Lepisosteus oculatus: one gene and its partners. The protein of the gene in region 3 interacts with the protein of the main gene of each other region in a pairwise test. Links are inferred from orthologs where the notes say so. Each region holds a gene or a part of one and is shown on either strand. Other genes may lie near its edges. The genes, in order: sirt6, serbp1a and chd3.

The links.
Region 1: the proteins of chd3 (region 3) and sirt6 interact in a two-hybrid assay, tested with the Homo sapiens proteins (2 studies listed by BioGRID and IntAct). The link is inferred for Lepisosteus oculatus from reciprocal best matches to the Homo sapiens genes CHD3 and SIRT6.
Region 2: the proteins of chd3 (region 3) and serbp1a interact in binary tests that used the Homo sapiens proteins (3 or more experiments, as listed by UniProt). The link is inferred for Lepisosteus oculatus from reciprocal best matches to the Homo sapiens genes CHD3 and SERBP1.

The regions. Positions count from the first base shown.
Region 1 is NC_090724.1:9,168,479-9,172,228, forward strand, and holds the start of sirt6 (NAD-dependent protein deacylase sirtuin-6), read right to left. Parts: upstream 2,450-3,750; 5' UTR 2,172-2,449; coding exon 2,106-2,171; intron 1,631-2,105; coding exon 1,503-1,630; intron 1-1,502. UniProt on the Homo sapiens protein: NAD-dependent protein deacetylase, deacylase and mono-ADP-ribosyltransferase that plays an essential role in DNA damage repair, telomere maintenance, metabolic homeostasis, inflammation, tumorigenesis and aging.
Region 2 is NC_090704.1:13,441,773-13,445,522, reverse strand, and holds the start of serbp1a (SERPINE1 mRNA-binding protein 1), read right to left. Parts: upstream 2,669-3,750; 5' UTR 2,565-2,668; coding exon 2,285-2,564; intron 540-2,284; coding exon 338-539; intron 1-337. UniProt on the Homo sapiens protein: Ribosome-binding protein that promotes ribosome hibernation, a process during which ribosomes are stabilized in an inactive state and preserved from proteasomal degradation.
Region 3 is NC_090698.1:7,525,429-7,529,178, forward strand, and holds the start of chd3 (chromodomain-helicase-DNA-binding protein 3), read left to right. Parts: upstream 1-836; 5' UTR 837-1,295; coding exon 1,296-1,464; intron 1,465-3,750.

The DNA of each region.
Region 1 (3,750 bases), on a different chromosome or scaffold from region 3:
AGGACAGCGCGCCATCAGCGTTCGCTCGACTGCGTCCGCCCGCCAGCCTCGCCCCCAGCGACCCGGGCGCGGGCCTCGCGCTCCGCCAACGCTCGCCGGGGGGGCCGATGAGGCAGTGACCGGGCCCCCCCTGCGTGTGCACCAGGCACACGGCCCCACACGCGACCGGCACACACGCCAGCGCCCGGGAAACGGTCCCCGGCGTCACACCCCCCTCTCCGCACCCTGCTGGCCCAAAAGTAGGCTCTCCTCAAACTTAATAAAAAAAAATACACTCTTGGAAAATACCCTTTCTGCACAACAAGACACACCTCAAGAATTTAAGACATGAAAACGTTAAGTACATCTTTTTCTATAGCCTTTTTATACAAGAATGACTCCATGTGTCTGTTGCCATCTGTGTGTCTAACTCAGACCCAGACTGACCTGCATCTGTCTCCATGGCAACCCTAGAGCCAGCCAGAACAGCAGGGGCGCCACCATGGGGAACTGCCTCCCCCTGGTGGTTATAAAGCAGCACAGCAGCTAAGGGACCCACTGGCGGCTACCCTTCCTCTTAATTGAACGAATAATAATAATACAGAGATGAACTGTGCAAACATTAAGGGGTACAAAGAGGGATGGGAGACTGGGGTACAAAACAACAAAACGATAAACACCTTGGAAATTTCTCCACGATGCCCGAGACGTTTCCCCCACGGCTCCGGCAGCCGAGGTCCCGACTCTCTGGGCTCATTAAAAATCCCAGGGCCCTTAACAATCATGGCCTCCTAATAACCCCCCTCTCTGAACTGGCTTCATTACTCTCCTCCCCACTGAGAGCTGATGTGTGGGGAGCGTTCTGGCGCACTATGGCTGCCGTCGCATCATCCAGGTGGGGCTGCACATTGGTGGTGCTGGAGGGGATCCCCATTACCTGTAAAGTGCTTTGAGTGGAGTGTCCGGAAAAGCGCTATATAAGTGTGAGGAATTATTATTATTATTATTATTATTGTGTTAACTGGCTCTTCACAGTATCTGCAGACACATCTACTCATCCTGGCTGCTTCCCTGCTGGCTACACGCTTCAGCAGTCAAAGGACCCGTCAGCACAGCAGAGCCGGGCCGGTACAGAACACCTCCCTGGACCCGTCAGCACCACAGAGCCGGGCCGGTACAGAACACCTCCCTGGACCCATCAGCACCACAGAGCCAGACCTGTACAGAACACCTCCCTGGACCTGTCAGCACCACAGAGCCGGGCCGGTACAGAACACCTCCCTGGACCCGTCAGCACCACAGAGCCGGGCCGGTACAGAACACCTCCCGGGACCCGTCAGCACAGCAGAGCAGGGCCGGTACAGAACACCTCCCTGGACCTGTCAGCACCACAGAGCCGGGCCGGTACAGAACACCTCCCTGGACCTGTCAGCACCACAGAGCCGGGTCAGTACAGAACATCTCCCTGCACCCGCTGGGCCGGTACAGAACCTCAGCATGGTGTCCGGCAGGTGGGTGCGTACCTGAAGTCCGGGATGCCGCAGGAGGTGCTGATCCCAGCACCAGAGTGGACCACCATGTATCGGGACTCGCGGACCAGCCGGGCCAGCTCCCGAACCTTCTCCTGCAGCTCCTCCTGGCTGTCAAACACCTGCACGCAAGGAGAGGGGGAGACTCAGACTCACAGGAACAGCCTGGGACACAGCGGGACCTGTGCCCTCAGAACCGCAGCGCCCAACCCGAACCGGAACCGGAACCGGAACCCCAGCCTCGCCCCCGAGGGTTAAAAGCTTTTCCCCCCAGAACTTGGTACGTGTTTCAGGTTAATGCTGTTAATACTAGCGCTACAGCTGCTGTATAACACATCTCAGTTTTTAACTCCAGATACTGGTGAAGTATCCCAGGGATGTCCAGCCCTGCTCTAACAGAACATCTCTCCAGCCGCCGGGCTGCACAGAACCGCCGCCTGTCAGTCAGTGCAGGAGCTCACACGGCCGCTGTCCAGTAACACGCCGGACACCGGCGCTTTGTTGCTTCCGCCGGCGCTGTGCTCACAGGTAAACAAGTCCCTCCAGTTCTCCGCTACAGGAAAGTCCGAGGCTGCGGCCTAGCTTTCGGGCTCTTACCTCCGGGAGACCGCAGATGCCTTTGTCCGGATAGGGAGAGAGTCCCGCCGCGTAGTTAACAGACATGGCCCTGCGCCCTGTAGCTATGGGACTGCGGCTCTAAACAGTCACGTATCTTTTTTTTGTGTGCTTAAAATCATAAACTTAATGCTCTGGTTGTGACTATTGTTAACAGTTCGCGCTAGCACATCAATACAACACCCGCCCCCCTCGTCCCTACGTCATCGGGGCGTCGCCGACGTAAGCACGCATCGGGGGGCGTGTCCATCAGGGGGAGGGGCCAAGAGGCAGGAGACGCTCCCCTGTTCCCGACAGCAGCCGAAACCCCGGTTTAACTTTCCCCTTGACTGAGGTTTCGGAAAAGCGATCAAAATATTTTATTCTGTATTTTGTTTAAATTGATTGTATACATACGCCTACTTTATAAGAAGTTACTACTTATAATTTTACTACTTTAACTACTCTTAGTTCTATTCATTATAATAATACACTGTTTGAGTACACCTGTAGACCTGTATTGCTAATCAATAGTAGCGAATAGACCAGAGGATCTCAACCAGCTGTTTTTCAAAGGAAGACAGGGCGGCTTGATCCACACTTTGTACCAAGTACGACCTCCTGGTGGTAGTTCTCACGCAGTTCTGTTCGCCGGGATGTGTTTTTGTGTCTTTCTAAGATCTTTTTGTCAACTGACACGAAGAGAGATGCTCTCTGTGCTCATATGGGGTCTCGAAGTCACGCCAGGCACTGGACCCGCCCCCTCAGGCTCCGCCCCCTCTTGCAGCTGATTGGTCGAATCAGGAGCGAGACAGGCGAGCCCAGCGAGCTCGAGCCCGGCTCGAGTCTCCCCTCTCCTCAGCCGTCAGCGAGAGGTGGCGCGCGACGCAGGTGCGTACAGTACGACTCTTGAATTTAGTTTAAATTTACTAACATTACTACAACTGTATTTCGCGTCTTGTGTTGTCTAGTGCCTAGGAATGTGAGTACTCCGCACATACTGTTCCCAGCACGGTTAACTTTGTAAAGTATTTTTGTAGAAATTAATTCCTAAGGCACGTATTACACCAGACGTGTTCTTATACCACATCTAACAGTGCTCGATTCTTCTGTGAATTAAAAAAACAAAAGGCAGTTATTTTTGTAAGAAAGCCTTTGTATTTCCCATAAAGTTTGAGTTGTTTTCACCCTTAAGTGTCAGAAAGTATATCTACAACGAGATTAAAAAAAGTCTATTGGTCTATTGACTATACAGTTAAACCATACAGTATGTGTTTCTTTCTGTTTTTCCTTTAGGATCTGAGAGTGGTTGAGCTACAGAGCCTACAGGATGAAGAGTCTTAAGGCCAAGTTTAAAAAGAATGAAGTAAGAGAGACACACACTCACAATGTCACACACACAGACATAGACAACAACCGACACAGTCACACACAGACAGACATGCACATACACAATAACCAATAAAGACAGACAGTCACACACGTACATACATAGACAATAACCAACCCAGTCACATAAATACACATATGTACACGAACTGATATAACTGACACTGAGACACACAGTCACACACATACACGCACATAGACAATAACCAACATAGTCGGACTCACACATACACACACAGATAGACAATAACAAACACAG
Region 2 (3,750 bases), on a different chromosome or scaffold from region 3:
TTTGTCTAGTATAAAATTAAAAACTAAAAATTTGTCTTTGGGACAAATTAATTCAGATTATGACGCACCTTCTCTTTGTGACATTTAATATAGAATTCTCAATTTCTTCTAAAAAACAAAGAGCTTTTGAACATTGAGGAACACATTTTTGTGTTGTAACTGATGTGCTTTTTTTTTAATGTAGGGGCTGATGGCTTGGCATATCTACATTTTTTCTGCAAAGTCTGGGAAAACTGAAATCATTTCTCTCCCCCCCAAAAAAACCACTAGCCCCCAACTCAGCCCATAAACATCCCCTTCCACAGCTTCCTAACCCTTATACTGTTCGTAAGCTTACTTCTCCACAGAGAACTCTCCACCTTCGGGCTTTTCTTCAGCAGGCTTGTCAAAGCGGCGGTCGCGTGGGGGCCTCCTGTCTGGCCTCCTGTCGCCGGGCCTGCCCTCTCCCTGACCCCCCTGCTGCTGAGAGCCCTGCTGCTGGGACTGCTGCCCCTGGTGTGGGGACTGCTGGTCAGGCCTACGGCCAACTCTCCTGATACCTGAAATAGAAAGCCAGCTGGTGAGTTAGGCCTGAAAAATCTAATCCTTCATCCGTGAACAGGGAAGCACGATTCAGATTCAACTCGCAACGTGTTATTGGTCCTGTCCAATTTAAAAGAAATAAATTAGATTACTGAACTCAATTACAGCTTTGGAATATAAAAGTATACGTGGATTTCAAACTGGACAACCGCTAAAACGAAGAAATTAACTCAACCTGTTATAATTTTAATTCCTAAAGGACATAATGCTAGTTTGCTGTGAAGTTAAGAAAGATGTTAGAAGACTTAAAATGTTTTTTTTTTATAATGCACCCCCAACTTAATTAGCAGGTGATTTATGTATTTTACACTCCTGAGTATTTTTCGAATGCGTCATAAGCTAATTAGCAGAAACCAGGTTTAACAAGCGAGTTTGTACATACCAAATCAAAAAGCATGTGTTAACTCCTGTATGTAGTATGAACTGAATAATGATAATGCTGACTTACAGCATGAGTGGCGACTGGAGCTGGAAAGGTGTGAAACCACTTCACTAAGTGAAAAAAACCCACAATATTGGGTTCTCAAGAGGTAAGTTACAACTTTTGCTACTAGATGGAGATCTAGTTCAATATACCAAGAGAAATCATTTGGTCAAAAGGTTCCCAATTCTAAGAGCCAGTGCATCTGTACCCCACCCCCCTCCAAAAAACAGCCCTCAGGCAGAACACCTCCATATAGCCTAACCCGACAGCTGCTGGCACATTTGGATGTGCACCTGTTGGGGACGCCTCTTCTGTATGGGACCAAACTGGACTTTTTATCTAAATTAAGCCCTTTTACTGAATTGGTAAACGCCCACTTTCGTTTTAAAACGATTACAAAGGATGCGTCTATTTTTAGAAAAAAAATCAAGCGCCCAGTTCCAGGTTTAGTCGAAATAAAAACGAGTCCATTTTGAATTTTGTTGGGTGCATCCCAAGAAAGGTCCGCAAGCTCGTGTTTGGGGGGGAAAAAAAAACAATTTTCGAGGTACTAGAATAAAGCCCTAGCGCGGTTCCTGTTTGCCCGATACAGGCGTGAAGTCGACATCATGCAAACAAAGCACGTGAGAGCTGTTCCGAGATGTACATGCCGCTGGACTAAAATCTAAAAGGAATGCATGCAAACGAACGAGCCCGTTTGCGTCACATGCAGAGGACAAAACTGATGAAGCCCAACGACGCCGAGGGGGTCAAACGATTGTTTAAAAATTCCCTCGCTAGCTCCCAGCACCACGCCTTCCACGGCGAGCGACGACTCGCGAAGATCGACTTCCGAGTGCTGTGACAGCTCGACAGCCTTCCCCAAACTTCCACCACGAGGTTGGCGACCTGACTGCTGCAGCGCCAGGCCTCTGCGAGAGAGCCTTGCTGTAGCCGGCGTTGGAACTGCTTTAATCAGACCGAAACACTTCAGCAACCTCCCCGCTCTGCAGTATCTTGCAGGCCTGGTACTAGGAAACGCATTTTAAAGAATTAACCGTATCTAGACCCCCTTCAGCACCGGATAAAGCATGCGCAGGTACCACCGGGAGACTACAGGAAGAATGCATTTTCGAGTCCCCAAAGGCGTACATTTTTAGCTTGGCCGAGCGTGTATAAGGCACTGAACTACTGTCTGACTGGCTTAGAATAGGAACCATGTTGTTGACCTCATGGGGGGTTTACGCAGTAACATTAACACAACCCCCTTCCATGTTCTGAAATACGCAGTCCACTGACCAGAGAAAGGGGGAAAAAAGTCACCTTCTTTTTTGAGAGGCACAGGAGCCTGTGTCTCTTCCTTCTTGTCAGGGAGCGGGTTCTTTCTGTCCTTCTGCGACTCTTTTTTCGGCTGCTTAGCGGCTTGAGCAGCAGTCTTGGCGGTAGCAGTGGCGGCCCCGTCCTTCTTCTTGTTCTCGGCCGCTTTTAACACCTCAAAGGGGTCGCTCTCGTCATCAAATAGCTGGTCGAACCGATTAGTTACGACGCAGCCGAAGCCTTCTTGCAGGTGTCCGGGCATGATGGCGCCCCTTCAGCGGGATTCTCCTCCGATTCTACGAGGCTTGAAGCGAACAGCTCGCTTGATGCTGCCACAAGATGGCCGGGAAAGAGACCGTCTTCTCTTCCGGCGCGATAGACATCCGGGACTTCAAGCTCGCTGCCACATGGAGAATGTAGTTTTTAATAGAGGCAGGGCTCTAGAAACATATTGCAGGAGCTGCAGTGAAAGACTACAAGTCCCGGAAAGCATCTGCAGCTAAAGTGCTTGTTTCTGTTCTTGAAAAACGTCTGCTTGGGAACTGTAACTAGTAGCGCTCGGCATGGCATGCTGTTGGTAAACTGAAAGGGAACGTGCACGCTTGTGTCAGTGTGGTTTCATTTAATTTTTCTTGGTCTGCAGATGCTCAGAATTGTCAGTCTAATCACTGAAAGCTTTCATTCACTTTCATTTCATTCACATGATCAATACTAGCATTAGAGGCTGATGCTATGTAATTTGATTTTAATGGTATCATGCATTTCAAACAGTGGAGTACACATTTTGAACAGCGCCTAAGGAGTGTTGCTTTGTAGCAAGTGAAAGCTTTATTGAAAACATGGTGGCGCAGGCCTCTCGTTCACAACCAGTGTGCTTTAACATTTTCTCACCGTAACATTTAATAAAAATATTTTACTTAAGCATTTAAAAGCGTTAGCGTTTCAACGAGAATTGCTCTTTATAACAATTGCCTGAAGCACCATCTAATGCATTTTTAAATAGGGGTCTTGAATGGAATATAGTGGGAGATTATGGTTGTTATTTCCAAGCTTTTTGAAATTGTGAAGTTAGAAAAGGAGTATAACAGTAATGTGCTATGAGGCCATTCTTTGATAGCACAGCCATCCAGCGTGACAATTTTTGCATTTATGTGCCTGGTTTAAATTGAGTCTGCCTGCATTTAGTCAGCTAGTGCATTTACCATTGACTGATTTCTCTAATTTTTCTAATTCCAAAATTTGAAAATAACGCTATTTTGCTTTTTATGTTTTACTCTTTATCTCTAAATGAAATTGTATTTTCAATTATGCTGGCTTTTGCAGTATATGCAGTACCAACAGTATCATAATAAGCACAGACAGCGAGTAGTCCTATGAATTTGCATTACCTCTAGCTATGGTTATATGAACTAATACAGCAGCTGATTTGATTAAATGATCGTTTTTTT
Region 3 (3,750 bases):
ATAATTGTGTAAAATATATTGGTGTAGTTCATTAACACAGCTATATATTTACAGGAGTCCAGGCATTCTTTAATAAAAACAAAATATGTAACTAGTTATTATAATTCCCTCAATGGCTATTTCTTCAGTTGTTTTAAGTATTTCATTTCCTCTTAGGCGCCTTCTGTATTTAATGGTTACAGACACCACCTCCTTCATCCTGTGCTCGTCTCAATCACATCAATAAATCGGCCACCCATGTCTACGTGTCGTGTTGAGCAGCATCCCAAAGCGCTTTTACAACAAGTCGAACTGCAGAATAATTGTAGTTAAAAGTCCGGCGGAGGCATCACGCGTAATAAAATAAGGCAATTTCGTCGTTTTCTGCTCGCCGCACGTTTGATTAAAATATATATACGCGTTAATTACCCCTGTGTATGTTAAAAACAAATACGTCCTCTATAACCTAAAGGTTTTCACAGTTTCACGACTATCATTATTATTAATACTAACAACCTACAAACGTCTAGGAATTTAGTCATCGGATATTTTACATCTCGGTGCTTGATTTGAACAAAAAAAGTGGCTTCACTTTTCATACGCTGCAAGTATATTTCTGTTCTGCATTTGAAGATAACTCTGAACTTCGGTTTTAAGCCTGTAAATCGCGCTAAATTGGCTTTGGGTGTTTTTTGTTCTTTTCGGCGCAGAAATGTAGAAGTTGCATTTTAATATAGCGAGCTGATGTAAGCACGAATAACCCCCCCTCTCTCTCTCTCTCTCCCCAGCCTCCAGCTCCCTCTTCCTAAATCATTTTATTTCGGGGTGGGGGCCTTTAAAGATATGAAGGGAGCCATATTTGTTAGATTTCGCATCGCTTTCTGCAGTGCGGGGAGTGAGGGTTATAAGAATGCTCTCGAAACAAAGGACAGTAACCAGCGCTAATACACATGAAAAAAACAACGCGATAATGTGATTTACGTGCAACGAATACACCCTTTATTTGACAATGTGTGTATGTTTTTTTTTCAGAATGGAGGGAGGGGAGAGTGGAGAGAGAGAGAGCGAGTGAGAGGAGGGGGGGCGTTTTGAAATAATATAGTCAGCCATTTTTTATGTAAGGGGATTTTTTTTTCTTATTGGGGGGGTTGTTAAAAAATAAATATAAGGGCGGCCATCTTTGTTTCTCTGCCTTGTGTGTAAAATATTCCAAAACGCCCCCCATTTTTTTTGGCCGATTTGAATATTAAATAAATTTCATAATTCCGGGAGAAGACCTTTTTTATTTCCTATACACTGGGCCGGCAACAGGAAAAATGTCCTCTCCTCTTCGAGGCTGTGAGGAAGATGAGGGCATGGCGGTTAACTCCGAGGGTGGAGATTTCGATGAAGAAGAAGACGGGGAAGACGGAGCGCTGGACGAGAACACAAGCGACATATATTCGCCGGCGGCGCCTAGAGAAACTGCAGCAGTAGCCGCGCCAGGTACAGTACGGGCTGCCTAGACACGGGAGCGCGCATAGGAACAACCTTAAACAATCATAAGAATAATAATCGGAATGCAAATAAATCCCATTTTAATACTGTTCATTACCTGTTCCACACCGTGATGAGATAGCACTGAAACTGCTTTAGGAAGTCTAAAGAGTTAAAGCGCAACTTTAACCAAAGTACTGTGCCGAATCGACGAAGCTTGAAGCTTTTTTTAAAAAAAAAGATTCTTTCGCATAGCTACCTAGTTTTGAGAGCCCCCCACAACACACACACCACCACACTACAACCCCGTAGAAGACGCACACTTTCCATTTCCCTGTCTCCCCGTGTAATACATATGTACATATCTTATCAATGAAGTACGTATGAATATCTTATCATTGTTGTCGCGATTGACACCCGCTGTGGCGCCGTGACCTACACGTCTGTACCTTCCTATTTTGTTGTTTTTGTTGGTAAATGTAGAAAAAAAATGTTTTATTTTGGAGGGAGGAGGATTCTGGAGTGACCGGATTCATGAAAGAGGGTGTTGGTGCGTGTGTGCCGAGTGTGAGAGTCACTGACACGCCGCTGACCCTCCCCGCTGTCTGTAACTGTTGCGGGTGAGAGCGTACACAAACCACACTGCGAGATAGTGTTTTTCCTTCCAGTGCTGTCTGTGTGGGGGATCTCCCAAGCGACCCCCAATTATACAGATCAGATGGTTTCTTTCTCTACAGGAGAGAGAGAAACCCGAGAACAGCGATGCATAAACACATAAAAGACCTGTCTGCTTCACCCCCCGAACCTTCGAGATGTTTAAAGTTCATAAAATGAGAAACAGCCCCATATTTCTTAAAATCTGCAGTTATATTGCTATTAATGTCGGTGTCGATTGAATGAATACATTCGGAAGTAACCAAAACTATGAAATGAGTTAATTTCGCATATTTAATGTATTGAAAATACCTAGATGTATATAGGCTATACGTACGTTTAATATGACCTTTATATATTGTAATATTAAATTAAATTATTAAAAACAGTAAATAGTACATACAGTTAAAAAAACAGTGAATTCAAATCTTTATTTATATACACAAGTGATATTCAATTTCGATAACGCTGGGGTGGGTTCTGCCACTAAAAAACAAGTTATATGAATATAAATAACTTGTAAAAATGTAGTTTCACAAGCATATTTGTGTACCAGGATCTTTAGATGTAGGCTTTTTTTAAAAAAGAGTATTTGATAACGTTACCTCAAGAAAAAACAGTAGAAAACAACCAGAAACCTTTTGCATTCGGCAGACAGAAACAGGGAGACAACTACCGTGTCATTAGGGCGAGGTTCGCCTACCATCTTTCAAATATTGCCCCCCAATAGAAAAAGAGAACAGGTTTGGCGAGACACAGTCCGTGTCCCCCGATAACCCCTGCATCCTGACCCAGCTGTAACTTTGTGTCTGGCTGGCCGCAGGTGGCGGATATAAACTGTGGCGTCTCATCGCCTAGTTACACCAACTGAGCGCGGCGGGCCGCTGAAAGCCTGCGGGTTTGAGTAGACACCCAACCCCTCTGGCTCCGCTCTGTACTTCGGCGTGAGAGAAGTGTCTACCCCTCCCCCCCTAGTCGCGAGCTCCATTGCGTCGCCTGCGGCCAGTAAATTTCAGCAGCCTCCGAAAGCCTTGTAAACACGACAGAGATTGGCACATCACGTACACGATGGAAAAACGTGGCTGTAAAACAAAAGGGGGGAAAATACGAATTAACAGGCAAAAGACGAAACACGATTGGCGCCCTTCTGTAGCGCGGTAAAAACTACAGTCGTGTCAACGCTGAGAAAAAAAAGACCCAGGAGAGTTTTTGTGAGTATGGGAGAACACCCACTAAAGGAATTTGTTTATTATTCATTGTTCAAACACTTCAGAAAAAAATGCTGCTCTTAAAATAGTTGAGGTGTTTCGAGTTTCAACTCGGTGAATTTATCCTCCGTTCATTTCAGTTAAACGTAGGTAAGCGGAGCTAAAATGAAAGACCGGTTCGTTGGTTGAGCTTAACTGTAATGCTTTTTGTGTGAAGCCGGAAACTGATTTAATTTATTCTTTTGGTTTTTTTTTAGTTTTATGTTTCCGTGTTGTACGAATGGCATGTTTTTTACTTCTCTCAATCCGCAGGACCGGGATGTTTGTGGGACTAAGTTTTGACATAATATTTTAAGATCCTGGAATTTTAGCTCGCCTCTTAAACAGGCACCAACAACAATACGTCTTAATTATGCTTCTCACATAACTGTTT